7 linked regions of the Neurospora crassa OR74A genome follow. The protein of the gene in region 1 purifies or fractionates together with the protein of each later gene. This does not show direct contact. Links are inferred from orthologs where the notes say so. Each region holds a gene or a part of one and is shown in the gene's direction. Other genes may lie near its edges. The genes, in order: NCU09894, NCU00105, NCU09131, NCU01524, NCU00925, NCU02511 and NCU03702.

Region 1 (4,224 bases):
GTAAAGGGGGGAAAGAATAAGGAGAATCCTTTAGAAATTGGGCAGCTAGCTATACTATTTGGAGGGTTTCTAGTACCCCTAACAGCTCTAATAAGGGGTATTAGGTACATTTGACACCCCTTATTAGCTCCCTCGAGGGGTCCCTGGCAATTGTAAATTTATATAGCGAGCCGGCTAACGGCTAGCACTTAGCAGCTAGTAGGTATACTATACTAAAATAATACATATAGTGAAATTCCTAGTATTTGTTAAGTATTTGCATTTATTAGGTCTAGCATTTACGAGGCACATTACTATAAATAGAAGTGTCCGGTGAGTGGGATTCATTAGTAAATCCAATATATACCCCACGGGCACTAAACTCCTAGTTGTAGGTCCTTCTACAAGTTAATACTAGTTTGTTTGTTAGTTTGGTTCTTTAGCTATACGTTGAATAGGAGAAATTGTTTAAAGCTTCTATTAGCCTTTAAAGAGAGAAAAGGGCCTCTGTTGGAAGCGTTATATAATAATAGCCAGGGTGGAAAATGCTATGGAAGCCTTCTTATACCCCTCTTTGTCTCATTTAGGACCTCCAAGACTGGAAGATATGAGAGAGTAGTCCCCTTTTAGTACCTGTCTGAATGAGGTTCAAACGTTTTTCCTACCCTCGACATTTGGTAGCTGGCTCTAGAGTAGAAATTGGCTTTTTTTTAGTACTAAACCTACAAACACACTAAAGTTAGATTGTACAATTCAATTCTAAATCAAATATTGAAAAAGTTTAATTGTACGGTCAATATTATCTATCCGTACGGTAATGAAAAATAGACTTTCATATTCTTTTTCTAACTTAATAGAGTTTAGTATTAACTTACCAAAATGCATTATATTTTTTCTGATCTTTTACTCTATCTAACACTCTTTTTGGAGTGACCAGACCTACCTAGTAGCCCTAGGAAACTCTCAAAGAAGATAGCTATTATAAATAAATAATTAATAAGATTTTAGATGAAAAAGGCTTAAGGGGTAGTTTTTCCATGATGCTTAGGGATATAGATTTGGTACCTACCTTAAAAAATTCCTCAAAAATGAACGAATAGTTTGGTGCCACTTTCAGTTTCATTAGTCTCCGTTTTACTAAGTTATACTTAATAAAGCAAAAGTAGACCACCGTACGGATAGACAATATTAACTGTACGATTAGACTTTCTCCAAATATTACCCAGCGTAGGACTTAACACTTTTAGCACTATTTCAGGCTTGCATCGCCAAACTCCACCGAATGAAACTTGATAAGAAAAAGTGTCAATCGAAGTACCGCGCCAATGATGAACCAGCCGAGGTTTGGAGAGTACTGCATAGTACATAGAGATTTGTCAGTGTACTGTGTACATCTGTACCTCCACTTGCTCCACTCTTCCTGCAAGACGCACGAGGGTCCGCTAGGTGCATGATCCAAGCATTTTTTTTTCCAACCCTTCCTCGTAGATGGTTTATTTTGCATCACCAACAGCCAACCTCGAGACACATTGTGCCGGCCCGCTGTCCATTGATTTCGGCAACGACGGATTTAGGAGATATGGGCTCATCCAAGTCACCGAGGCAAAGAAAGAGGAAAGGCATGGGGCCGGCTTTCGACGAAGCAGCAGCACTTGCTCAACTGACCGAAAAGATCGACCAAACTCTCGCTGGCGTCGGCACTGACCAACACGCGTCACCAAATCGCAAGAGACCGAACACCACAGCTGATGATCGAGATGCAAAGAGGCGCCAGAAATCTCTACTGGGCACTGAAGAAGGACAAGAGGACCGTTCCAGCAAAGACCAGTCCCACAATGCAACAAAGGAGGTTCTGCTGGAGGAAATTTTGGCCTTGGGCGGAGACGAGGATGATCTTGAGCTTGTCGCCAATGTTGATTCCGACAATGAAGAGGGACCTGGCATGAAATCTGCGTCGGCGCCCGAAAAATCCCTGGATAAGTCATTTCATGAGGAACTGACAAAGTTCGCCTTGAGCCTGGGCTTCCAGAACATACCCCGCGAGGATGACCTTGAAAGCGTGTCGTCTGAAAACCCCGTCGACGAGGAACAAGACGAAGAAGACGACGAAGAAGAGGACGACGACGCGGAACAAACAAAACAGGATGACAGCCAGGATCAGGAACAGCCTCTAGCCATTTCTGCCACAGTAAAAAGTGAGAGCACAACTACGACCGCCCAAGACACCCTGCGCGGGAAGAAAGGCAAGAACAAGCTGGTTAGTTCGACGCTCTCGCTGCCGCAGACTTACCTGGCGGTATGCTAACTTGAGTAGGGTTTTGAGCCCAGACCTGACTGGCATGCTCTCGACCTCGAGGGCCTACCTGCCTTCACACCATCTGCCGACGTTAGGCAATATTCTTCAGCGATTGCCAACCTCAAAGCTTACGCGGACGCTCTCTTGAAGGAGGACGCGGCAAGATACAACGCCCTCCAGGCCTCCAGCTCCACTCAGAAGTTCATGTCGACCATTATGTCTTCCGGCACCTTATCCGACAAGGTATCTGCCTTAACCTTGTCGATACAAGAGTCTCCTCTCCACAACCAGAAAGCCTTTGAAACCCTGATCGGGTTGGCCGGCAAGAAAAGCCGTAGTCAGGCACTCGCTGCCCTGGGCGCTCTAGTGGATCTGCTGGGCAATGGCACAGTTCTGCCAAGTAATCGCCGGCTTCGTCCGTTCAACATGCAACCCGCCTTGCTGGCCGCTTTACAAGATCAAGCTGTGCTGCATTGGGTTCAGGGCCAGAAGCTCCCAGCCAAGCTAACTGATTCTTACCTGATGATGTGGGCATACGAGGATTGGCTCAAAGCAGCGTATTTTCGCATTGTCCAGCTCCTCGAAATCTGGTCGACTGATCAGATTGAGCATTCGAGAATGCGCGCGCTGGAATTTGTTTTCACATTGCTCCGGGACAAGCCGGAACAAGAGGCCAATTTGTTGCGACTTCTTGTTAACAAACTCGGTGATCGCGAACGGAAAATTGCATCTCGGGCGTCATACCTCCTCTTGCAGTTGCTCAACATTCACCCTGCGATGAAAAGCATTGTCATCAGCACGGTAGAGCAAGAGGTTTTGCTCAAGCCAGGCCAAGGTCTGCGCACCAAATACTACGCCATCATCACCCTGAATCAAACCATCTTGAGCACCAAAGAGCCCGCTATAGCCAACACGCTACTCCGAATCTACTTCGAGGCTTTCCTTTCCCTCCTCAAAACTGGCTCATTGGGAAACCTGGAAGCGCTAAATTCCGAGGACAAATCTGGCGGCAGCAACAGGAAAGCTAAGAAGGGCAAGCGAAATCACACCGAGGCTTCTGCCAACGAGCAGGATACGACACAAAAACTCGTATCCGCACTGCTTACTGGTGTCAATCGTGCGGTACCCTTCACTACCGCCGACGATGAGACCATGGAAAAACATCTCGATACCTTGTTTCGCATCACGCACTCGTCGAACTTCAACACCAGCGTGCAAGCACTCATGCTCATTCAACAGCTCGCCGTGACCAAACATCTCGCTGTTGACCGATTTTATCGGACATTGTACGAATCATTATTGGATCCCAGACTCATCACGTCATCGAAGCAAGCATTGTACATGAATCTACTTTTTCGAGCCCTGAAGAATGATGCCGACGTGCGGAGAGTGAAGGCTTTTGTCAAGAGATTGGTTCAGGTGCTTAACCTGCATCAGCCGTCCTTCGCATGCGGGGTGCTATATCTGATTTCCGAGCTGGAGAACATGTTTCCTGACCTTCATTCGTTGCTTACTGTTCCCGAGGAGAATGAAGATGATGGCGTGGAGGCTTACAAGGATGTCAATGATGATGCGGCTCTGCAGCGCAGTCTCTTGCGTGAAGACGCACCAACTTCCCGTCGTGCCACAGGATATGATGGACGAAAGAGAAATCCCGAGCATAGCAATGCGCACAGAAGCTGCTTGTGGGAATTGGTAAGTGCCTATTTGAACTCTGATTGCATGTGAAACCAGTTTACTAACCTCAAAACCACCAGGCTCCTCTTCTATCTCATTTCCATCCATCCGTACACGTTTATGCCAGTAACCTTCTCGTCCGTCAAAAGGGCCTGCCGAAGCCGGATTTGGCCAACCACAGCCTCATGCATTTCCTGGACAAGTTTGTCTACCGCAACCCCAAGATTACCGAGACCAAGCGCGGAAGCTCAATCATGCAGCCGGTCCTCGCT
Region 2 (3,353 bases), on another chromosome or scaffold:
ACGAAGCGACTCGAATCTTCAGCGGTCTTCCTGTCACCATATACTGTTGGCTCCTGTTCGGGCTTGAGGGGTATAAAGTGGGTACCTGGAGGGCGGGGCACATGGAAGCTTTCCAGTGGGGTCCGCGCTTTCGGACTGTCTCTCCGTCATCGCAGTACCTGCATCGACCTGACTCCAACCAGAGAGGATTGTCGAGACCCAAACAGCTGGACGTTACTGCAATGCTTCTTTTCACTTCCGTCTTCTCCTTCCACTATAATCCTTCACCGTTGTTCTTTGTCTTCGTTTGCGCAGATGAACAACAAGGGACGTTCTCTCCCAGTTGGACGAACCACAATGTCGGTATCCTCACACTCCAGCATCTCTCTCTCACCATACATACCTTTTCCCATCTACAGGTCTGGCCAAGAAGGCGCAGTAAGGTCTTCGGCGATTACCGCGTAAGGGAAGCTCCTTGCGCATCCGTGATTTCTACGACGAGATAGTCGAATACGTAATGTTGCGCATCGTGGTGGGTTGGGTATCATGAGATTCCTCTAACCAGCGCGCCCAACGTGAGCCAGTTTGGTTGGTCACACTTCATATTCCTTCGAGATGGATGAATTCGGTGCATTCGGTGGTATTCTATACCACAATACTCCCACGTCTCGTTTGCCACTATGTAGTCATCAACACCTCCCCACTTGAGAACCTCGGACAGGAACGGAGACACTGGTTGAGGAGTCTGAATGGCAATCGATCAACTCGATGCTTGATACTAGTTTGGCTTCTTTTTGTGTCAGTAGAAGTTGACTTATAATCCCTCTTTGATGGGTGCAAGGCCATGGCTCGACCCATTCACGACCAGAACCACAAGCTGCCACTTCCAACGTCAAGTGGCCTTCTAGTTACGCTTTTGTCAGTTGAACAGCGAGCTTCTTTGCTGCGATATCACTCCGATATGCATTACAATCTCTGGAAAGCTAACTTGCACGGTTAACCCTGCCAGCAATCTGGGCTACCAGGACGATTGAGAAGTCAGCCAGGCTCGCCGCGCAGGAAAACAATCGTGTAGATGAGGACCGAATCCTGAAAGAGAGTAGCCCGCTGGATACAGCTGGAGATCATTGGCCTCGACTGGGGTTTGTTTCTTCCATCACACCAGGACTTGGATGAACATCGCGATGCAGGAGTTCCCTCTGGAAATATAAACTTCATGGATGTGGCATATTATCCGCTTCAGGTTGTCACTTCAGTTGCCGGCCTGTGACAGTGTCGCTAGGGCGGCACGCTGGGGTCGCGCACGGCAAACGTAGAAGCGGGTAAAAGTGGGACTCGGCTATTTTAGCTACGAGTATCCACTGCAGCCATTGCATCTAAAGCGGAGAATTGATGGCTTGGCGTCTCCCCATTATCGGAAGAGTGGGTTTCCTTGTCGATAAAAAAAAGTTCTGGCAGAGAAACGCGGGCGAACCTCCATCGGTTGCGGCTGTCAGCGCTTGGAGATTCCCTCGCATTGCATCACCAACTCCATCAATTCACAACACACCGACAAGATGCGCCCTCTTACAGAAACGGAGCAGAAGACCGTCTTCGAGAAGGTCAGTTTCAGTGCCGAAACAATGTCATATTCAAACAAGGATGAACAACAGCTGACTGATTGCTTTGGCACCCTAAAGCTTGCAAACTACTGCACCGATCTCAAGAGTCTTATCGCTCCTCTCGATGATGGCGACAGATACGTTTTCCGTCTGAACCACTCTCGCGTACGTCCTGCCTCTCTCGCCTCCCTCGCTTCCTCTCGACCTTGCTCGATACACCGTCTCTTCCCTTTTGGCTGTGCGCCACCGAGGACAACGACAGCCGTTGCGACGGCGATGACAGCCACCACACCACCACCAACCAGAATAAGGGCCAGATAAACTGACAAAGATGATGATATACAGGTTTACTACGTCCGTCTCTCCGTTGCCAACCTCGCCACCAGTGTCAGCCGCGATGCCCTCCTCAGCCTGGGTACCTGCCTTGGAAAGATGACCAAGACGGGAAAGTTCAGACTTCACATCACTGCCCGTACGTTCCATGTCCAATGCCGAATCCTTATGCGGTTACTGAAACAGTTGGAATGTATGTGAAAGCTAACAACCTGATTACCAACCTTATAGTTCCTATCCTCTCGGAGCACGCCCGTCATAAGATCTGGGTCAAGGACAACGGTGCCCAGCCCTTCCTCTACGGCTCGAACGGTATACCTCTCCATCTCCTGGTTCTCTGTCCTACTAGCCTCATGAAAACTAACGGGCATTTGAAAACAGTCGTCAAGGCCCACGTCGGCCGTTGGTCCGAGGACTGCCCCGAGCACTCCGGTGTCGTCGTCTACAGCATGGCTGATATCCCCCTTGGCTTCGGTGTCACAGCTCGTAGCACAACCGAGGCACGCCGCCTTGATCCCACGGGTATCGTTTGCTTCCGTCAATCGGACTGCGGCGAGTACCTCCGTGATGAGGACACCCTCTTTGCTGGTTAAAGTGTCGGTCCGAGTAAGAAAGAGGGAAGGAATTAACGAAGGCTTGGAAAAGAGAAGGTCATATGAACTTTTTTTTTGCTTTAGGGAAGTACCATAAAGGCGTCCTGGCGTTTACAACACACACATACACTTTTGGTCAGAATCAGATACCTCCAGCATTTTTATCTGGGCAGATATAATTTGATCTTTTTTCTCGTCGAGCAATGGGGCAGGACCGAGACATACCTACATCCTTTATTAGGAAGTGTGATGGGATCCTCTCGACCTCGTTGTTTTTATACCTGTGGAAGCCATTGTTCGTCCAGATCCCGACTTACGCAACACTCAAATTGTATCTGTTTACGTCGTTTTCAACACGTAATTTCAAGGTACGAACCCCGTCCATGTTTTTGTATAATCGCACTTTTTCTACCAAGCCATACCTTCAAGCCCGATGTCCCCCAACAGGACTAGCCGGCCTACTCACCGTATTGTAAAAGCTCACACTCTCCCTCTGCGCCACATACTCGCTATCCGCATACCCCAACAGCTGCCCAATCTCCACGCTCTGATGTCCCTTAATCCTTGCAATCTCGGCGCTCGCGTAGTTGGTCAGGCACCGGCCCACCTCGACCGCTTCACCCTCCCACATCTTGCCATCCGGACCGGGCGTAGACCGGCGCTTGTCAACGACGCACAGGCGCACAGCCTCTTGCTGAGCAAAGAAACCCTCGACGTCCACTACGCCGACGGGAAGCAGCCCAGCTTTGCCGAGGAGAGCCTTGTACGCGCCCTGGTCGATGTACAAAGTGCCATGCGGACGCAGGCCGTGCAGGATCCAGAAGTAGCGGTCGCGGACGGGCGAGGG
Region 3 (3,930 bases), about 1.5 Mb from region 1:
CTCTTCGTCACTCAGGTCTTCCGAGGCCTCTTCGTCACCCACTTCTGCTTCTTCTGAGGGAGTGTTTCGCCCGCTGGCAGTGTTTTCCGGTTCGTAATCAGATTTGATTTGCTGCTGAAGCTTGCTAGGGCTGCGCTCGAACGTCCGATCGCGGCGGTCGGTGAATTGTCGAGTGCCAGGCTCACCCGCGGTGTCTACGATGTCGCGCGATACTCGATCTTTCGGTGGTGTGTCGTAGAGCCTCTCTGTCTCTGCCTCGGAGTCATTAATATCCACGTCCGACAGCTTGCTCTCGTCGTCAGTCTCAGCGCCAAGGTCCGAGTCGACGCCATCGCGATTGTCAGTTCGGACCGATGTCTCGCGATGTTGAGAGTGGTTACTGTTCATGTCCAAATCCATGTCGTCAGGATCTCCATGCTTGTCTTCCACGTCACTAAGTGGGCTTGACACATCGCTAGGGCTGTGTTGGAGCAGAGGCGGAGGGGGGCTCGAGAGAGCCAAGGACAGCGCGGTGTCACCGGTAGCCATCGCGGATCATAGAATCCGACGAGATTGAAACTAAGCAACGACGCGCCAATGTTGGGTTGAGCAGCTGAGCAGTGGAAAGTTGGACGGCCACGTAGAATTTAGTCGTGGACGGCGGACTGGACGTCCGAACTGTACGGGCAGCTCAAGAGCAGCACCTGAAGTTGTGGCGCCACGATCAGGGTAAAGTGTGTTTATGCCGGAAGGTTAAAATGTGTGCTCGCACACAATGAAATGTCTCGGAGATATGGCTTTGTTGTCGGTACGAGGGCGCGATTGTCAAGAGATAACGTGCGGTCTGGGTAGGTAAAGTAGTAGGAAGACAGATCGGGAGAGTGAGGAGCGGGCAGTAGGTATCTGGTTGACGACCTAGACTGGGAGCTGGACAAGCGCCCACAGCACCGCACCAGCACGCAACACAAATGGGCAACCGGCAGGTTTCTGGGGGGCTCCATTGCCTGCCCGCTTGCCTGCCGCCGCCGCCCGTCTCCAACAGCCCAGCGCACCACACAAAGGCGATGGCAGGCGGTGAGTCTTGGCAGCTTTGATAACAACTGATAAGCGAGTTTTTTTTTTTAATGGGAGGATGCAAGATGTTCCACGGTCCTCGACTCGTCCTTACGATGCGCAGTGGGGAAGGTAGAAACGACGACCCTTTGAAACCCTGGACCATTGAACCTGCCTGCATAGAAACTGGTCTTGCCTTGTACAACATCCTGCTAGAAATCAGAAGTGGAAGCTTTGCAATTCGATTTTGACAGCATTTACAGCCAATCACATCTTTCGCCTCGTCGTCGAACTTCAGTTGTTTTTCCGTGCTCTTAGAACTAAGTCAATCACAAGTGCTTGATTGGCGAATCGTGCCACTTTCCCATCCATTGCGCTTACACACGACGGAAAACTCACAATGGGTAAAACGTGCGAACAGCCCTACGCTACAGTCAACGCCATTCTTCCAGTATTCTGACACCACTATTATAGTAAAGGACTCGTTGCGCCGGTGAAGAAGGTTGATCCTAGCTTGGATGCTTTGTTTGCTACCAGTGTAAGTCATCTCGCTCTGACCAGACAGGCAATTGGAAGTTTACATGGCTAATCTTGTGTAGGTTGGTCCAGCGAAGCCCCGCCCAGCTGCAAAATACTCCGAGCCCCTACCGACAAAGTCCAAGAAGGCGCCAGTACCTTCCAAGAAAGAGGAAGACGTTCAGGACGAGGGCGATGACGAGGAACTGAGCGAGCTTGACGAAGAATACGATTCCGAGGTCGGCATTGGAGAGGATGACGAAGACGACGAGGCTGAAGACAACAGTGACAGCGAAGACGAAGCCGTCGCGACCCTCGAAGTTGTTGTAGAACAAGGAAAGGTCCCGGAAGAAGATGGACCGAAACGGAAGCGGAAGCAACCCGACCAGCACGACAATCTCGAACACAAATACCTGTCCAAGTTGGCGGAGGACGATGAAGAGCCGGCTGGCAAGCGTCTCAAGGCCGACGAGCAATCCGGAGAAAAGAAGGATACCGCCAAGGCCGAGAAGAAGGACGACGACGACAGCGAGTCTGCGGATGAGGTCCCCGTTCACGAATCGCTAGCGCCCGATGCTGCCCAGAACGAGATTGAGAAGGCCAACCGCACCGTCTTCCTCAGCAATGTCGCCGTCGAGGCCGTCACCTCTCGTTCGGCCAAAAAGGCCTTGATGAAGCATATGGCTTCAGTGTTGGACAAGGAGGCGAAACCTGCGCAAAAGGTTGAGTCGATACGGTTCCGCTCGACTGCCTTCGCTACCGCTGCCATTCCCAAGCGTGCCGCTTATATCAAGAAGTCCGTGATGGAGGCCACTACGAAGTCGACAAACGCCTATGTTGTCTACAGTACCCCTGCGGCCGCTCGTCTTGCCTGCTCGAAACTCAACGGCACAATCGTGTTGGATCGCCACATCCGTGTCGACAGCGTTGCCCATCCTGCCCCGGTAGACCACAAGCGCTGCGTCTTCGTCGGTAACCTTGGTTTTGTGGATGACGAGACAGTACTGCAAGTGAAGGTAGACGAAGACGGTAAGGAGGTGACCGAGAAGAAGAAGCGGACAAAGCAGCCTATGGACGTTGAGGAAGGTCTCTGGCGGGTATTCGGTAAAGAGGGCGGCAAAGTTGAGAGCGTTCGTGTGGTCCGCGACCCTGTCACCCGTGTCGGCAAGGGCTTCGCCTACGTTCAGTTCTGCGTGAGTTATCACTTCTCTCTGTCTCTTACTTGCCCGTTATCAACTAACAACTCTGTTCCCCCTCCGTAGGATGAAAACGCCGTCGAGTCAGCCATCCTCCTCAACGGCAAGAAATTCCCGCCCATGCTCCCCCGCGAGCTACGCGTCAGCCGCTGCAAGGCCCCTCACAAGACCCTGCGTGCCATCGAAGCCAAGAAGCTCAAGGCGCAGGGTGCCGTTCCGGAAACTATGAAGAAAGGCAACAACGGGAAGAAGGGTCCTGGCTCCAAGAAATCCGACTACGCCCCCAAGATCTCCGCCGAAGCCAAGACCATCGCCGGCCGCGCTGAGAAGCTCCTCGGCAAGTTCACTGCCAGACAGGTCATCGGCTCCGACAAGAAGAAGACTTTCAACAAGCAGGACAGATACCAGGCCAACCAAAGGAGGAATCACGCCTCGGGCGCCAACACGGAGGCGACCGGTCCCAGAGTCCCGGGCGCCTACAAGTCCCCCGAGAGTTTCATTCTCGAGGGTAAGCGTGCTAGTGCGGCAGACGGAAAACCTAAGGATCTCAAGTTCAAGGGCGCCAAGAAGAACAAGGCGCCGAATGCGGGTGGTGGTAAGAAGAAGACTGGTCGTGCTGCTGCGAGGGCTTCGAAGTGGAAGGTTCAAGGGAAGGGGAAGAAATAAGTGCTAGGCCATTTGCCTGATGTTTAGGGTTGTTTGCTGGTATAGAGCCAACGGGCAGCAGCCGGCGTGGTGCGGGTGCGCGCGTTTCATCCGGCGCGGCCCGTGGATTTTCAAGCTTCAAGAAAAGGGGCAGAATTCGAAAGTGAACAGAAGCCTTCGATTCATGACGCGCGCATGTATGGATAGGATAGGATAGGCTGTAATGCAGTCATCGCATATGAAGGTATCTCAACGGACTGTCCCCAACCGCGTGATACTTCGCAATGACGGGAATGTGGAGGAAGAGCCTTGGCGCCCAGAACTAGGTACATATGTAGTTGTCTGAAATTGCAGTATAACCGTGGAACGACTGTTAAGCCTGGCTCCGTGGTTCTTGCGACAGGGAATCGCAAACAATACAAAAATTAACAACACGGCCACATTGAAAGAAAATAAAAAAGAAACAACGTGTAAAGCCTTCAAGTGCACCATACCAACTTTCTACATGATGTCTCGTGGAATTGTGGGTGAGCTGTGTAGG
Region 4 (3,524 bases), on another chromosome or scaffold:
GCTCTGGCGCGAGCCTACCGCTAACATGCGATCATTTATCTAGAAATCTACAAGATCGTGTCGACCAAGAACTTCGACAACGGCCCCAGCGGGTCCAACGAGGGCCACCAAAACCTGTCTGGCCAGAGCATCTCGCTCAGTCAGACCGCGAACGACCCCCAGGCGAAGTCTGGCTGCTGTTAGGAGGTGCTTGATTCTCCGGGCCGGGAACCGAGTGGCCCTGAAGGGTTGAGGTGCAGGGTGCAGCAGAGTACAACAGGGTGCCGAACCAACAACGGCGTCACATATGTCTGACATGAAGCAATGGAGGCTTATGATGAGCAATGAAGAGCAGCATCGGGGGAAAAGTACGGACGGATCCTGCCCAGTCTTATTACATCACGGTCGCCGATGGGATGGTCTGTTTTTCTTTTTCTCTCTATTTTTTTGGGCTTTTGGGGAGGGGGGAAAGGATCATGATGCTCGTCTTCCAGCCTTTCCTTTTTGTTGTTATTACTACTACTACCCCTTTCTTCCCTTTTCCCCCCGTGCTGGTCGTTGGAATTTTCCTCAATGTGGTTAACGAAGCCATCACTTGCGCATGGATTACGAAAGATATTATTTAGTTGAAATGAACTATGGGCGATAAACAGCCCTTAACTCAACCTGGTACATATTGCTCCACGTTGTCAAGGTCTCCATCTATTGCATCCACAATGTGGGAGAAGAGGAGTACCTCGAGAGTGAGTACCTATGTAGCGATAATCGTGCAGGATCTCGTTATGACATTCAAGTTGATTATGTGCGACAGCGGGAAACAGTCAATACAAATTAAGACATCTGGGCTTGCCTGATGGATTATGGCGACTGTCCCTCATTACTCCCATCGCGTCACCCGAGGCGGTTGAAGTGGGTTTGAGTGCGGACAAGAGGCCAGTCCCGTCCCATCCCCCACTGTAGGGCAGACAAGAAGAACGCGTGGAACTTGGACAGTGTGTGTAGGCAATGGAATCCCCAGAACTTGGGGGTCCGGATTCCAGGTTGGGTCCATCAGTGGGACAAATGCGGGTTGCCCAGACCGCCGACCGCCTTTCAGCTGTTCCAAGCAGGGGGGCCGGAACAGGGACGCTAGTAAGATAAGAGAAGCTTATCGGAGTGGGGCTGCGATTGGCCGGCGAACTTTTTTTGAGATGGAACAGCCTGCACTCCATCACTGCGCTTCGCCCGCGACGTTCGTGGATTGGAGCATTGAATTCACCTTTGCAATCCGCATTCCGTTTTTCTGCCATCACTTCCACCACAACCACCACCAACTTCAGTCACCCTTGTTTTTCGCCCGATTTTGATACCCAAAGAACGACAAGAACAAAAAGAAAATGGCCGCCGTTTACAAGTCGCTCTCGAAGAGCGCCAAGAAGGTCGAGGACACGGAGAACGACAACAACACCACCACCACCAATGGCGGCTTTCGGAAGAACAAGCAGAGAGTTCTGATTCTCTCGTCCAGAGGCGTTACCTACAGGTACATATAGACCCTGCATACCTGCAAGATGGAAGAAGAAAGGGTCAATTGCTAACCGCCTTTGCGCCCCGAGTACAGACACAGACATCTCCTCAACGATCTCGCAGCGATGCTCCCCCACGGCCGCAAAGACGTCAAGTTCGATTCCAAGTCCAAGCTGTACCAACTGAACGAGCTTGCCGAGCTCTACAACTGCAACAACGTCATGTTCTTCGAGGCGCGCAAGGGCAAGGATCTGTACATGTGGTTTAGCAAGGTTCCTAACGGCCCTACGGTCAAGTTCCACGCCCAAAACTGTGAGCACTATCCATATCCGAGATACGCATTGTGAAAGAGGAAAAATCGGGTTCTAACAAAAAGCACAGTGCACACCATGGAAGAGCTTCACTTCACGGGTAACTGCCTCAAGGGCTCGAGGCCACTCCTCTCCTTCGACCTCGCCTTCGAGCAAGAGCCGCACTACCGCGTCATCAAGGAGGTGTTTCTGCAAATGTTTGGCGTCCCCCAGGGCGCGCGCAAGTCAAAACCGTTTATCGACCACGTCATGAGCTTCAGCATTGCCGACGGCAAGATCTGGGTACGCAACTACGAGATCCGAGAAGTGGAGAAGGCCAAGGGCGAGAAGGACAGCGAAGGAAACGACATTGTCCCCGAGAGCGACAAGTCATCATCGAAAAAGAGAAAGGGCGCGCCCAACGCGGAGCTCAAGGACACAGACGTCAGTCTGGTTGAGATCGGACCTCGGTTCGTCCTAACGCCCATCATCATACAGGAGGGCGCGTTCGGCGGCCCCATTATTTACGAGAACAAGCGCTTTATCTCCCCCAACCAGGTGCGCTCGGAGCTGCGCAAGGCCAAGGCGACCAGGCACAACACCAGGGTGGAGCAGGTCAAGGAGAGGCTCGGCAAGCTCGAGACCCTCACGGCCCAGGCGAAGAAGGAGAAGGATGTCTTGGATACCCGGGAGCTCTTTGCTTAGAGAAAGGAGGAGGAGGGGAAAGAGAGAGAGAGAGCTTTTCACAACACGATTTCATCACGTCTGTTCGCTTGCGACACATCAAAGCAACGCACGCCTTAGGTTTAGGGGTAATCAAGGAGTTTTTTGTACTTTTGCTGGCTGGCTGGTTTGGTCTGGTTCGGGAAAAAGAAAGGAAATCGATTTGCATTGTACAACATTACAGTATTCGTGGGGATGTGTGAGACGGACGAGCTGTCCTCTTTTGACAGTTGGGAAAGAGGATCATGATCGAGTGGTAGATGAGCACTCAGCGTATAAGGTGCTGGCTCGAAAACGGACACATCAGATCAAGATTGAGTGATGAACGCCGTCCTGGCTCCGGTCTTGGTCGTGTTGAAAGGAGATGGTCAAAGAAGGGTAGGAGAGCAAGTACTTTGCTCGGCACCTCACTAGCGGTTGACTGTCTATAACCACACTCCTGAGGGAGATGTTGTTCGCATAGGACCTAGACTCTACCTTAAATGCAGTTGCGCTGTGAGATATTGTCTCACATTTTTGCTCCATGATTTGGGTTGTTTCCATATATATAAGAGACACGAGGTGTCTCTTTCGTTGAGTTGTTGGGATGATATCACCACCTTCAGTACACTCCTCAAGGAGAAGAAGAAGAAAAAGTACCATGTTTTGTCCCAAGGTAGCTTTGGGCGACATCGTCCCAAATTTCAGATTTTCTGACGGACTAGCCATCTTCTCAGGGGCTTTGGGTCGTCTAAGTCATGTAGTGTGCCTGGGAGTTGGCGCGAGTTTGGTGCTTCTTGAAAACAAGAGATAAGGACTGGAGCCGATACCTAGGACGTCGCTCCTTAAAGCGAAAGACAAATGGCTTGAGTCTAATGTTGAACACGTATGGCTAACGCTTTTGATCAAAATTTAGAAGCAAAAAAAACGACTCGGAGTACTTTGGTCATGACTCAGGTTCACTCATCGATATCGGAGGAGAGAGTTGAGGATAGGTTGTAGAGGGTTCACTTCACTCATTGTGAAAGTTCGCTACAGGGGACCTGT
Region 5 (3,920 bases), about 2.7 Mb from region 1:
ATAACCATGGTCGCGGTAAACTTGATCCACGCATTGGGCGCTCCGGTAGCGGGCAACTTCTGCCTGTCATAGCAAAGAAGAATGAGAGGCGGGAGGAGGAGTAGCGGATACATGGAGAGGTATGATGCGAAGGCTAGGGCGACCATGGCGTGAAAGGGTCTGCCGGAGATGGCATTGGCGACGGCGTGGAGAATGGCACAGGTCGTGAAGACGGTGGTCGAACGCCCAATGCATGTCGCGATGGTGAAGGGGTTGAACAGGAAGAGCGCGGCAATGATGGCACCACTCCAACGCTTGTCACGGCGCGGGGAGGTGAAGCGCGCAGACGAGCTGGCCTCGCCAGACTCTGCAATCCTTAAAAGAGCATGGGCGCTCAGAATATCGATAGCGATGTAGAGAAGGTACGTGAAGATGGGAAACGCCGCGAAGCTCGGGAGCAAGTTGAAGATGGGCAGCAAGAGGGGCGCCTGGTGGTAGACGCCGCCATCGTAAGGAGAGACGTTATGGTTATACAGGAAGAGGCCTTCTTGGACTAGATTTTGGTAGTTAGCAAACCTGTGTTCCTCGAGACGATGCGACGAATGCCGAAGAGAAAAACAAAAGCTACAACATACGGCGCTTGAAGCTTGTTACTGGCGTTGAGATCTCGACACGGCCAGTCAGGAGGTCTGGAAGACCGGGGAACAGAGTAAAGAGGGCAAGTCGCAGGACGGCAGCACCGGCGTATAAGCCAGCCGTCCTCCTCAACGTTACCTTGCCGCCATTCATTGTTCAATTCGCCATACGACGAGGTGGGAGCTGTGATGTCGAACTTGTCCCAGGGTCAAGTTACTTCTAACGACATGCCCGTCCAGTTGCGCTATACAGGAGTCGCGCCCAGCACGTTAGGTCGCCTTGTCAATCGCTGTCCCCGCCAAAGCAGACCGACAGCTGGCCCGGCCTCCACAGCTGGCGGGTCCCTGTGGGACAAGGGGTTCTGGAATCCAATCCAGACGGGAGCGGGAACCTATCTGGGCCAGACGGGCCCAGTATGTATTCTAGTAGCCTCATCTGTGCCTATCTGATGCCTCCCGTCTTTCCATCCGCTACGTTATCTTATCTTTGATCAGCTCAGGCGGTGGGAAGTGGCATAAAAAGTTCAGGACCGCGAGGGTCAGAAAAAAAGTTGATTGCAAGTGCACAGAGCGCCCCCACCTACAATTGGCTTCGATAACGATCGAGTCTGCAGACTGAAGAGATCCATCCTTGGTCCTCTTCTCCTTCTCTCACTCTTCCACCTACACCCAACAACCACAACCACCACCACCACACCCCAAAATGCCAAAAATCAAGAAGAAGGGCCAGGCCGGCGCGGCCAAGAACTACATCACCCGCACACAGGCTGTGAAGAAGCTGCAGCTTAGCCTTCCCGACTTCCGCAAGCTTTGCATCTGGAAGGGTATCTACCCGCGCGAGCCTCGTAACAAGAAGAAGGTTTCCAAGTCGGCCACTGCCTCGACCACCTTCTACTACACCAAGGACATTCAGTACCTCCTCCACGAGCCCCTTCTTCAAAAGTTCCGTGACCAGAAGGTGCTCGAGAAGAAGATCTCCCGTGCTCTTGGCAGAGGTGATGTTTCGGATGCCGCCCGCTTCGAGCGCCATGCTGCCCGCCCCGAGGCCACTGGCAAGCCCAGGTACACTCTCAACCACGTCATCCGTGAGCGCTACCCGACTTTCAACGACGCGCTCCGCGATCTCGATGACTGCTTGTCCATGCTCTTCCTCTTCGCCAACCTCCCTTCCACGAGCGCGGTTCCCGCCAAGATGATCGCCCGCTGCGAGCGTCTCTGCCTCGAATTCCAACACTACCTTATTGTTTCCCACAGCCTGCGCAAGTCGTTCCTGTCGATCAAGGGTATCTACTACCAGGCCAACATCCAGGGCGAGGATATTCTCTGGCTCGTTCCCTACAAGTTCAACCAGAGGATCGTCGGCGATGTCGATTTCCGCATTATGGGCACTTTCGTCGAGTTCTACATGACTCTTCTTGGATTCGTCAACTACCGACTTTACAGCTCGATCGGCCTCAAGTATCCTCCCAAGTTCGACCAGCTCAAGGACGAGAACGGTGCTGAGCTCGGCGCTTTCTCTCTGGAGGGTGTCAACATGGCCACCCAGGGCGAGACCAAGGCCGTCACAAACGGGGAGGAACAACAGCAGGGTCCTGACCCCAAGGTCCAGGCTGAGGTTGACAAGATTATCAAGCAACTGAAGGAGGACGAGTCCAAGAGCGACGAGACTGCCGAGGAAGATGCCGAGGCCGACGATGAGGAGAAGCCCACAGACTCCATCGACAAGTTCGAGCCAGTTGCCCCTGGTGGTGATGTTCTTCCTCAGCCGGCGTACAGCAGCAGTGACCCTTCGCAGCTGTTCGCCAACTTCACATTCTACCTCTCCCGTGAGACCCCCCGCCAGCCTCTCGAGTTCATTCTTCGTGCCTTTGGCTGCAAGAGGATAGGCTGGGATTCCGTCCTCGGCGAGGGTGCCTTCACAAATGACGAGTCGGATCCCTCCATCACCCATCACATCATTGACAGGCCAGTCGTACAAGCCGCTACCAACGAGGATGGCGATGGCGAGGACAATCAGACGGCCCAGAAGGTCGGACCCAACCAGAGATACCCCGGCAGGATATATGTCCAGCCCCAATGGGTATGGGACTGCGTCAACGACGAGGAACTCAAGAGCCCTGAGCTCTATGCTCCTGGCGCCGCTCTCCCTCCCCATCTTAGCCCCTTCGTCAAGGCCGCCCCTGGCCAGTACGATCCTACTCTGCCCCTTGAGGCTCAGCAAACCGAGGCCGAGGCTATTGAAGCCGACCTCGAGGATGCCGAGAAGGGTAATGCTGAGGATGGTTCCGATGTCGAAAACGACATGGATGTTGATGAGGCCGAGGACGATGAAGAAGAGGAGGAGGGTGACGAGGAGGATGCCGAGGAGGCCGAGGAGGAGGATGCTGAGGAAGATGAGGAGGAGTCCAAGACCCTCCAGCGTCAGCTTGAGCTAGAAGCCGAGCTCCAAGGCAAGAAGGTGCAGAATACAAAGGTAGACTCCAAGACCAAAGCCAAGCTAGAACAGCGCAAGGCTCTTGAAAAGAAGGCACGCGAGGAGGCGGAGGACCTGGAGCGCGCCAAGGGCATGCTGAGCAAGAAGAAGCGCAAGCTGTTTGAGCAGATGCAGTATACCAACAACAAGAAGAGCGCTCAGGACGAGAAGCTCCGCGCCAAGAGGAGAAAGCTGGAGAAGGAAAAGGCGCAGAAGGCGTAAGGTTAAAACACTGGCAAGGCGTAATTTTTTAGCACTTTATGTTTTGAAATGGGATACCAAAGGCTCATTTTTCTCTTTTCTTTTTGTGTAATCGACAAGTTTTGAATCCTACTCGTCGTCCTGAACTGATGCAAATGTGAATAATCGTGACATGAAAACGAGCGCCCACGAGGCTTTCGTCTGAGGGTTAGGGGTCGCTACGAACCAAACCGTAACGCCCAAGAGAAGTTGGAACGAACCGAAAATAGGACCAACGAAAGGTGAGAGTACAAAGTAAAAGAATTGAGTGAGGAGTCAGAGGTTCATCAGTTTCTCCATCCTTGTTGCTGTGGTACTACTACTGGGATGCTTTCGTACGTCAGTGCGGTTCTTCGACCTTCAATCTCTTGTCACTCCCGTCCTTAGTGATTGATCACCAGAATTTGCACTCAACAACCCTGCCAACGCGGGAAGAGCACCCACTAAACTGGGCCATGCAATGTCTTCACACTTGAATCAAGAAGATTCCGGCGACGAGGATTGGGATAAGGACACTGAAGAGATTAATTCCATCGCATCAGATGAACTGCACGAAACCCGCCCCAATCGGTGGAATGGGGCCCCCTCCACAT
Region 6 (4,241 bases), about 1.4 Mb from region 1:
ACGCGGCCCTGCTGTTGTGAGATACCGACAACAACCATCCACTTTCCGTCGGCGCTGGTCCGATAATTAATTATTTGGTTGCCCTGGAGATTAGCATTACGATCGAAGACCTTGACCGGAGCGGGCTGGTTCGGGTCGAAGACATCCCAATGGTAAACAGAGCCATCTGTGATCAAGCCAAGCGTGGTCTCGCTAACCCACTTCCAGAACAAGACATCCTCGCTCATGTTTGTCGACTTGAGCTTGGCCTTGTTTTCGAGGTCGAAAATCTGGAGTGTGCGCGCCTGGGCCTTGAGGGCAATTACTTGGCGCGTCCAGTGCATTATGGCACTGTCGGCCTTGATGGGACGTCGGATAACATTATTGCCGTTCTTGAGATCGACGATGATGACTTCAGGGGACGCTGCCTCGTCCTTCTTGTCGCGAATACACACCCAGTTGTCCGATTCTAGAGTCTGGGAGCGGGGGGTTCACGTCAGCAGGGGTGCCAGAGGAGGCGCGACAACTGTCACTAGCAGAGTCAGAGCAAGGTGAGGACAACGTACACAGGTATTGAAAGTGATGGCAGTCTGGTTGATGCCGAGGGCGCTGAGTTGCAGCAGCTCCTGGAATTTGATGGGTAGGGCCTGAGCCATGATGGGCGGTGGTGTTGCGCTAAGCTGCGCGCAGAGTGACGAAGATTAGCAGCCAACTTATCAAAAGCGGCTGGAAGGTGAATCCGCTGGGAAGTAGAAAGATTGGGGAAATGGAGGCTCGTGAAGCTCCGTGGACTGAATGGAATGGCGGCGACGTGAAAGGAGGCGGTGGTGGTGGTGGTTGGTTGTACTTTGGGGGGAAAATGACCGAGCTCCCGAGAAATGGGGAGGGGGAAAGAGGACGGATGAATCAGGTAGGTAGAGGTAGGTAGGAGGTTGGAGGTGGAAGGATTAACGCAAGGTCCAGAAGGCAGGTACGCAGTAAAACCCGCCGCCAAACTGTGGGTGAGAGGTGAGTCGCGATTTGCCGCTCAGTTACAGATACGTAAAGTAAAGGCGAGCAGGTACCTCGATGTCACCTCACTTCAATGCTCCAGCAGAAAGAATAGAGAAGAATCGCGGTTGTTGAAGGATGCAAAGCAGCAAGAGGAGACGTCGTTTGTTACGGGAAGTTAGTACCGTGAGAGATGAAAGATACAGCAGGAAAGATGGAAGGTGCTGAGGTGAGATGCCTCTCCAGCTGTCCAGTGTGTTTGTACATGCCGCAACTGTTCAGCGCAGACGGAAGGTACCTCTAGTACCTCTCAGGTTACCTGCCTGCTTTTGAGTGATGTGTTAACACGGGACCTCGCGGCCGGGGCGTCCACCGCCCACCGGCGCCGGCTCCATTCAGTGCTTCCCCCTGCGTCGGGTGCGCCTAGACCAGGCGGCAGGCGCCTGCCCGGGAGGCCTGCCTGCCCCCTTCGCTTCAAGCTGTCCGCCCGGTCCAGGTTGCCCGCCCTCATCCCGTCATCCTTCTACTTTCCTTTGCCCGCATTGATCGCCTCTCCTGCGAGGTCCGTCAGACGGTCCTTCCATTTCCTACCTCTAGGTACCTTATACCTCCAGGCCGCCTGCCTCCGGGGGCGCCGTTCATGCCGGGCTCCAGGGGCAGCTGTTCCCTACTCCAGAACAGCCCAGCTCCAGGGGTAGCGTCAGCTGTTGCTACAGGGATTCCGAACTTGGCCCAGCTTGACTAATGTGGGGCACTGACCAATGGCTCACCTTTTGGGACCGCAGTGAGGTGGAACCCGATTTGAGGAAAGAGACTTGGCATTGCTATCGATAAGCTTTTTCAGAAAAGAAAATCGACCCGGAGAAATATCCACAAGCGCCTGTCGATGGTGGGCTATCAGTGTTCAAACCAACCCCAACAACATCCCAATCACCACCAGACGACCAGCAATACCATCAAAATGGGTGTCGGACGTCGCATGCAGAAACAGGGCCCTCCTGAGCCCCTCTCGGAGGAGCACTTCGCCAACCTCAAGCGCAAGAAGGGCATTCCCTTTGACGAAACCACGACCGAAGTCGACACTAGAAGATCCAAGAAGCAGAAGATTGTCAAGAAGCAGCCCAAGACATCCGGCTCCAACACTGTCGCAGTCAAGGGCGCCAAGAAAGAGGTCAAGGAGGTGAAGAAGACTGGCACAAAGCCCGCCCACAGGTCCAAGGAGTCCAAGAAGCCTAAGAAGGCAAAGCAGCCTTCGCCCGATCATGACGAGGAGATGGACGACGAGTTTGGCGCGTCCGACCTGGAGGGCCTTGATATCGACGGCGATGAGATGGACGTTCAAAAGCTAGGAGACGATTTCCTCGGCACTGACGACGACTCGGTTTACGATTCCGACCAGGACGGTGCTACCAAGAAGGAGGCATTCGTCTTCTCTGACGATGAGGATGACGAAGAGGATAGAGAGGAGAAGCTCACAGCCGCCAACATCGAGGGTCTTTCGAGGAAATTGGATATGCAAAGAGAGAAGGAAGCAGAGGAGAACGAGGCCGAATTGCGCGACGAGGCGCTCCAGACCAACATCGCTGGTGGTGATGACCTCGGTGATGACGACGACCAACTTCAGACTAAGACCAAAACTTTGCTGGCACCCGATCTCCAGATGTTGAGAACGAGGATAACAGACGCCATCCGTATCCTGGACGACTTTTCGAATTCGGCGGAAGAGGGCAAGAGTCGCGCCGAGTACACCAGCCAACTCATCAAGGATATCTGTGCCTGTAAGGACCCGATGTTCCTTGCGCAATACTTCTCGTGAAATGCACAAATGTTAACTTCAGGTTTTGCCAGACTACGGTTACAACGAGTACCTCGCTGAAAAGCTTTTGTATGTTTTACAACCTGTCGCATGCCTGTCTGCGGCGATACCACCAGTGGGGAAACTGTCTGACTGTTTGTAGCAACCTGTTCCCTCCCAGAGAGGCGTTCGCCTTTTTCGAAGCCAACGAGAGTGCCCGCCCCGTCGTTATCCGTACAAACACCCTCCGAACACATCGCCGCGATCTTGCCCAAGCACTCATCAACCGCGGTGTCACACTCGAGCCTGTAGGCAAGTGGTCCAAGGTCGGTCTGCAAGTCTTTGACTCGAAGTACGTATATTCTAAATCAGGACTACAACGACGCGATTCATGCAAATGGCTAACAACTGGGGCATAAAGCGTTCCCCTCGGTGCCACGCCTGAGTATCTGGCTGGTCACTACATCCTCCAGGCCGCGTCTTCGTTCCTGCCCGTGATGGCTCTCTGCCCCCAGGAGGGTGAGCGTGTTCTCGATATGGCCTCTGCCCCCGGTGGCAAGACCACCCATATGGCGGCGTTGATGAAGAACACCGGTGTGATCTTTGCGAACGATCCCAGCAAGCAGCGTGCCAAAGGTTTGATCGGCAACATTCACAGACTGGGCGCAAGAAACGTTATCGTATGCAACTACGATGCGCGTGAGTTCCCCAGGGTCATGGGTGGCTTTGACAGAGTCTTGCTCGATGCCCCATGCTCGGGCACTGGTGTCATTGCCAAGGATCCCTCTGTTAAGACCAACAGAGACGAGAAGGACTTCCTGCAGCTCCCCCATCTCCAAAAGCAGCTTCTCCTGGCTGCCATCGACTCGGTTGACCATGCCAGCAAGACTGGTGGTTACGTTGTCTATTCGACGTGTTCCGTTGCCGTTGAGGAAAAGTGCGTTTTCCATATCGTTCTTAACTGTACTTTCAGAAGACGCTAACCCAAGATTACAAACAGTGAGCAAGTCGTTGCCTATGCGCTCAGCCGCCGTCCCAACGTCAAGCTCGTCGAGACTGGCTTGGCTTTCGGCAAGGAAGGCTTCACCAGCTTCATGGGCAAATCATTCCACCCCAGCCTCAAGCTCACCCGCAGATACTACCCCCATCTTTACAACGGTACGTTTCGCCTCCTTATACCCCCTTTCCCTCCCTCCCCTCCTTCATCACTAACACAACCCTCCAGTCGACGGTTTCTTCGTCGCCAAGTTCCAGAAACTCGGCCCCACGCCCGCCACTGCTGTCCGCGCCAACGGCGTCGACAAGTCCAACAAGCCTCTGGACGGCCAAGCTTCCCAGGAAGCCCAAGAAGTTGTCGACAAGACGCCCATTGGTGCCGAGTGCGAAGCCCAGGATGACTTTGGCGGTTTTGATGATGGTGAGGACAAGGAGTACATGGAGCGCGCTAAGCGCAACGCTATGCGCAGGAGAGGTTTGG
Region 7 (4,189 bases), on another chromosome or scaffold:
AAAATGCCATGCTCGCGTACACCGTTCCGGAAAAAAAGTGAAGCCCTCAATCAAAACATCCCCTCGTCCAATCACCTAGCTATCAAAGCGCATTTAAGCGGCAGTGATGGCACGGCGGACGCGAGCGCCACGCTGGCGGGAGGAAAGGTGAGCCTCCTCGCGGACAACGGCCTCGGACTTCTGGACGACCTCATCGGCCTCAGTGAGGATGAGCTCGATGTGGCAGGGGTTGGACATGTAGGGGTTGATCTAAAACATAACTGTTAGCCAATGACCGGCTTGATCGTCTATCTGCCGGCGCAGAAGCAGAAATCAGGGGGGTATCTCCGGGTTTGACGTACGCGACCGTGAGCGCGGTAAGTGCGGCGGCGCTGCTTGGGGGCCTGGTTGACCTGGATGTGCTTGACAACGAGGTTGCCAGTGTCAAGACCCTTGGCATCGGCGTTGGCCTCAGCGTTCTTGAGGAGACCGAGAAGGAACTCGGCGGACTTGGCGGGCCAGCGGGCGCGGGAAACACCGAACTGCTTGCCTATATGACGAAGAAACGGTCAGCACCGTGTCTTCTATGTCCTCCATTCGATTGCGGTTTCGTGTCGGTCGGTCGCGGTTCCATCATGCTGACAATGCCCCCCTATTCCCCCGCCACTTTGTCCTCCCCACTGTCGTCGTCGTCGTCGCATGATGTACCGGTTCGGGTGTGTTTGTGCATGTAAATATCGAGTAAGTCGTACCTTGGGCGGCGCGGCCGGTGCCACCAGCGTAGCGTCTCATGGGGACAGCCTCCTTCTTCTCAAGAACGTTCTCGAGGAACTTCTGAGCACGCTGGAGCTTCCAGCCATTGATGGCCTGGGCGGTCTCACGGGTGTTCTTGAAGGAGACACGGAGGTAAGAGCCGCGCGAGCGGGCGGACTTAGCCGGGGCAATCTCAGTCGCAGCGTACCGAACCTGCGATTTTGAACAAGACTCGGTCAGCGATTCCCTCTCCTCCAAGTGCTCGCAATGCTCGCAAAGCCGTCATTGTCGTCCGTTGAGACTTTCGTCGTCATTTCGGCTGCAGAAGCCCGAAAACTGTCCTGAAGCAAAATAACGGCGGCGATTCTCTCGTTCGGCGGATTTCGCAGGGATTTACTCACCATCTTGCCTGCTTGTCGATGAGAGGACGGGGAATCGACCAAGTGTGATGTTCAGAGGTGGTGATGGGTTCCAATTTTGGCGTACAAAAACCGATTTTCGCGATTAGGGCTCTGTGGGCACTGCGCAGGTGGCTCGTGCGGACCGTCACTTTGCCTGAGGCACGTGCACGCGGGGACAGTAAGTGCTAGCGCCGATAACAGCCTGCCTCCTGGACTGCCGGCCGTGCACGATAGCATCCGCAACAAACTGGAGAGCCTCGACCGCCACGCCAGGACGACAGCCAATTGCAAAGGCAGAAGGCCTCGACCGGAAAAAAAAGTGCTCCAGCGATGAGACTTCGTGCCCCGCTTTTTTTTCTTTCAATCCATGTCCAGGAAATTTTGCACCCAGCTCCAGCAAAAGCTCTTTTCCGAGTCCTCGACAGCGCCGCGCGACAACTCTAAACCCATTGTGCCTCGCACGACTGATCTTACAACGCGTTTCGGCCCAGAATCGCAACTCATACCGACTCCGACTTATCAATACCGACACATTCTATAAAAATGGGCTTCGAGCGTGGTGGCAGAGGCGGCGCCCGTGGCGGTGGTCGTGGTGGATTCGGTGGTGATCGTGGTGGCAGAGGCGGCGCCCGTGGCGGTAGCCGTGGTGGCTTCGGTGGTGAGTTTGGCCTCAATGCCATCGCCTGAATGGTCTTTGCGGTTATGTCGTTGCTTCTGTTCGTCATCTTGAGAGATGTCTCTGCGTCTGCTGCGGCCCGTGGTCGCCATGCATGCCTCTTGACTTCTCGTAGTAGGATGGCGATTTCAGTCGAACTTCATATCGCAACTCGACTCAACATGCGATGGCAACAGCAACCACATTAACGCAACACTTTACTGACAATGACTTAACAGGCGGCCGTGGTGGTGGTGCTCCCCGTGGTCGTGGCGGTCCTCGCGGTGGTGGCCGTGGCGGGTACGTCTTGTGTTCAAAACCCTTGATTACTCCAAAGACATTGACTGACATTATGAGTATAGTGCTACCCGTGGTCGCGGTGGTGCCCGCGGTGGCGCCAAGGGTGGTGCTGCTGGCAAGAAGGTCATCGTCGAGCCTCACCGTCACAAGGGCGTCTTCGTCGCTCGTGGTGGTAAGGAGGATCTCCTCGCTACCGTCAACCTTGTCCCTGGCGAGTCCGTCTATGGCGAGAAGAGAATCTCTGTCGAGAACGCCTCTAAGGAGGAAGGTGGTGCTTCCACCAAGACTGAGTACCGCGTACGTTTTCCAGGCTTTCCAGCTTGTGGCCTCAGACAAAGACTAACATTGGACTTTGCAGATTTGGAACCCTTTCCGTTCGAAGCTTGCTGCCGGTATCCTCGGTGGTCTTGAAACCATCTATATGAAGCCTGGTTCCAAGGTCCTCTACCTCGGTGCTGCCTCCGGTACCTCGGTCTCTCACGTTGCCGATATCGTCGGTCCTACTGGTTCCGTTTACGCCGTCGAGTTCTCTCACCGTTCCGGCCGTGACCTCATCAACATGGCTACTCGCCGCACCAACGTCATCCCCATCGTTGAGGATGCCCGTAAGCCCATGGCTTACCGCATGCTGCTCCCCATGGTCGATGTCATCTTCGCCGATGTTGCCCAGCCCGATCAGGCCAGGTAAGCCGACTTATACAGATCCTTGACACTGTATGTGCCTGACACTAACACATTTCAGAATTGTCGGCATCAACGCCAAGCTCTTCTTGAAGCAGGGTGGTGGTCTTCTCATCTCTATCAAGGCTTCTTGCATTGACTCCACTGCTCCTCCCGAGCAGGTCTTCGCCTCTGAGGTCCAGAAGCTCCGTGAGGACAAGTTTTTCCCCAAGGAGCAGTTGACTCTTGGTACGTCCATCCGCTTCCCTTTTGGTTGATAGAGCCAACAATAACTAACAATCACCCACAGAGCCTTACGAGCGTGACCACGCCATGGTTTCTTGCGTCTACCAGCAGAAGGAGTTCGTCGATAACTGAGTTTCGAATTAGTACTGTTCTATCTTCGTTGCTCTGTTCTGGAACCTTCACATAATTCGGTGTTCTACTGGCAGGATGGTTTTGTAAATCTGGAACGGCGAATGGCGTTTGGGTATCTGCCTTGTTTTAGCATTGTGGGAATAAAGCACCAGGGTTCTTAGACTGATATCCGGAGTGACCCCGGTTGCTTCCATCTTACGCCGCCTTTCACGATCTCGTCACGACTCCTAAGTCACCGCGCAACGAACCTCCTGTTCACCAGCGAAATTGGCCAGCCTACAACACATCAAGAACGATCACCAGTCAATCACCCTAAGAACGAGAAGGGCGCTGGATAGTCAAGCAGAGGTTGCTTTTATCGGCGCTTAAAATGCTCGACAGCTTGGTTCGTCTTTATGGCGTTTGAAATCTGCGAACTGAGAGTCCCTCCCCTTTCATCAGGGTATCACGTCGAAAACTGAGACTATTCTGGCCATTCGAGTTTCAAAGGAGATTGTTTGGGCCTGGGGACGCAAGGGTACTGCAAGCCAGTCATTACATGGCTTTGAGGATTATTTAAACATGCCTAGAGTCTATCCAGGATCAAGAGGATGCTGGGCCGTTGGTTTCGCTTGTTGATGAGCAAATTTGAGCTTGCTTAGTCCTATAGATTTACATATCAGAGTTTTGGGTCATCTTTGCTCCTTATCATCGGCCTTGTCGGCGGTCTTGTTACTTCTTGAGCTTATTGTTTGTTGCTTTATTCGATGCTGGATATGCTCTGATCTATGATTTGCATGCTATCTAGCTCTTCGATATCTCACCCCATTGCCTCTACACCTTCCCCGTACTAAGCGCTCTTGCACCGCTGAAAATCTTATCTTCTTGGCTCGTTTGCTTGCGGCGTTGATCAGAGCTGACAAAGTAACTCAGGCGACAACATATCCCGGGACGAGACGCGCAGCGTTAATGGAGAGTACGGACAGTGTAAGTGTGATCCGTTACCGGGTACTAAGCCAAAGTACCTCTACAACTTGTGGCCCAAGCCAGGCTAAAGGATATATAATTACTATGGTCCCGGGGA

Evidence for each region.
Region 2: the proteins of NCU09894 (region 1) and NCU00105 purify together in Saccharomyces cerevisiae (affinity purification with mass spectrometry, with the first as the bait; 3 studies listed by BioGRID). This does not show direct contact. The link is inferred for Neurospora crassa OR74A from reciprocal best matches to the Saccharomyces cerevisiae genes MAK21 and NIP7.
Region 3: the proteins of NCU09894 (region 1) and NCU09131 purify together in Saccharomyces cerevisiae (affinity purification with mass spectrometry, with the first as the bait; 4 studies listed by BioGRID). This does not show direct contact. The link is inferred for Neurospora crassa OR74A from reciprocal best matches to the Saccharomyces cerevisiae genes MAK21 and NOP12.
Region 4: the proteins of NCU09894 (region 1) and NCU01524 purify together in Saccharomyces cerevisiae (affinity purification with mass spectrometry; 4 studies listed by BioGRID). This does not show direct contact. The link is inferred for Neurospora crassa OR74A from reciprocal best matches to the Saccharomyces cerevisiae genes MAK21 and BRX1.
Region 5: the proteins of NCU09894 (region 1) and NCU00925 purify together in Saccharomyces cerevisiae (affinity purification with mass spectrometry; 10 studies listed by BioGRID, with this or other methods). This does not show direct contact. The link is inferred for Neurospora crassa OR74A from reciprocal best matches to the Saccharomyces cerevisiae genes MAK21 and NOP7.
Region 6: the proteins of NCU09894 (region 1) and NCU02511 purify together in Saccharomyces cerevisiae (affinity purification with mass spectrometry; 4 studies listed by BioGRID). This does not show direct contact. The link is inferred for Neurospora crassa OR74A from reciprocal best matches to the Saccharomyces cerevisiae genes MAK21 and NOP2.
Region 7: the proteins of NCU09894 (region 1) and NCU03702 purify together in Saccharomyces cerevisiae (affinity purification with mass spectrometry, with the first as the bait; 5 studies listed by BioGRID). This does not show direct contact. The link is inferred for Neurospora crassa OR74A from reciprocal best matches to the Saccharomyces cerevisiae genes MAK21 and NOP1.

What each region holds. Positions count from the first base shown.
Region 1 is NC_026501.1:3,985,463-3,989,686, forward strand, and holds the start of NCU09894 (CCAAT-box-binding transcription factor), read left to right. Parts: upstream 1-1,424; 5' UTR 1,425-1,429; coding exon 1,430-2,236; intron 2,237-2,293; coding exon 2,294-3,970; intron 3,971-4,032; coding exon 4,033-4,224.
Region 2 is NC_026503.1:2,638,601-2,641,953, forward strand, and holds NCU00105 (ribosome biogenesis protein NIP7), read left to right. Parts: upstream 1-1,434; 5' UTR 1,435-1,535; coding exon 1,536-1,580; intron 1,581-1,658; coding exon 1,659-1,745; intron 1,746-1,925; coding exon 1,926-2,052; intron 2,053-2,144; coding exon 2,145-2,225; intron 2,226-2,294; coding exon 2,295-2,506; 3' UTR 2,507-2,853; downstream 2,854-3,353. Other genes in the region: pro-4 (glutamate 5-kinase), read right to left, coding at 2,931-3,353. UniProt on the Saccharomyces cerevisiae protein: Required for proper 27S pre-rRNA processing and 60S ribosome subunit assembly.
Region 3 is NC_026501.1:5,442,434-5,446,363, forward strand, and holds NCU09131 (nucleolar protein 12), read left to right. Parts: upstream 1-1,130; 5' UTR 1,131-1,432; coding exon 1,433-1,443; intron 1,444-1,506; coding exon 1,507-1,570; intron 1,571-1,631; coding exon 1,632-2,741; intron 2,742-2,810; coding exon 2,811-3,410; 3' UTR 3,411-3,866; downstream 3,867-3,930. Other genes in the region: NCU09130 (hypothetical protein), read right to left, coding at 1-528.
Region 4 is NC_026502.1:3,192,924-3,196,447, reverse strand, and holds NCU01524 (ribosome biogenesis protein BRX1), read left to right. Parts: upstream 1-1,204; 5' UTR 1,205-1,355; coding exon 1,356-1,501; intron 1,502-1,579; coding exon 1,580-1,797; intron 1,798-1,866; coding exon 1,867-2,480; 3' UTR 2,481-3,024; downstream 3,025-3,524. Other genes in the region: NCU01523 (GTP-binding protein ypt3), read left to right, coding at 44-183. UniProt on the Saccharomyces cerevisiae protein: Required for biogenesis of the 60S ribosomal subunit.
Region 5 is NC_026501.1:6,705,681-6,709,600, reverse strand, and holds NCU00925 (pescadillo), read left to right. Parts: upstream 1-1,189; 5' UTR 1,190-1,317; coding exon 1,318-3,309; 3' UTR 3,310-3,420; downstream 3,421-3,920. Other genes in the region: gpit-2 (glycosylphosphatidylinositol transamidase 2), read right to left, coding at 1-532, 615-768; NCU00926 (hypothetical protein), read left to right, coding at 3,788-3,920. UniProt on the Saccharomyces cerevisiae protein: Component of the NOP7 complex, which is required for maturation of the 25S and 5.8S ribosomal RNAs and formation of the 60S ribosome.
Region 6 is NC_026501.1:2,564,244-2,568,484, forward strand, and holds the start of NCU02511 (S-adenosylmethionine-dependent methyltransferase superfamily domain-containing protein), read left to right. Parts: upstream 1-1,441; 5' UTR 1,442-1,855; coding exon 1,856-2,747; intron 2,748-2,817; coding exon 2,818-2,854; intron 2,855-2,927; coding exon 2,928-3,116; intron 3,117-3,185; coding exon 3,186-3,701; intron 3,702-3,764; coding exon 3,765-3,922; intron 3,923-3,989; coding exon 3,990-4,241. Other genes in the region: NCU02510 (clathrin heavy chain), read right to left, coding at 1-455, 546-635. UniProt on the Saccharomyces cerevisiae protein: S-adenosyl-L-methionine-dependent methyltransferase that specifically methylates the C(5) position of cytosine 2870 (m5C2870) in 25S rRNA. Required for 60S ribosomal subunit synthesis and processing.
Region 7 is NC_026505.1:2,139,447-2,143,635, reverse strand, and holds NCU03702 (rRNA methyltransferase NOP1), read left to right. Parts: upstream 1-1,389; 5' UTR 1,390-1,676; coding exon 1,677-1,791; intron 1,792-2,027; coding exon 2,028-2,088; intron 2,089-2,150; coding exon 2,151-2,385; intron 2,386-2,446; coding exon 2,447-2,772; intron 2,773-2,830; coding exon 2,831-2,997; intron 2,998-3,058; coding exon 3,059-3,126; 3' UTR 3,127-3,942; downstream 3,943-4,189. Other genes in the region: NCU03703 (60S ribosomal protein L17), read right to left, coding at 94-249, 342-529, 732-945, 1,134-1,136.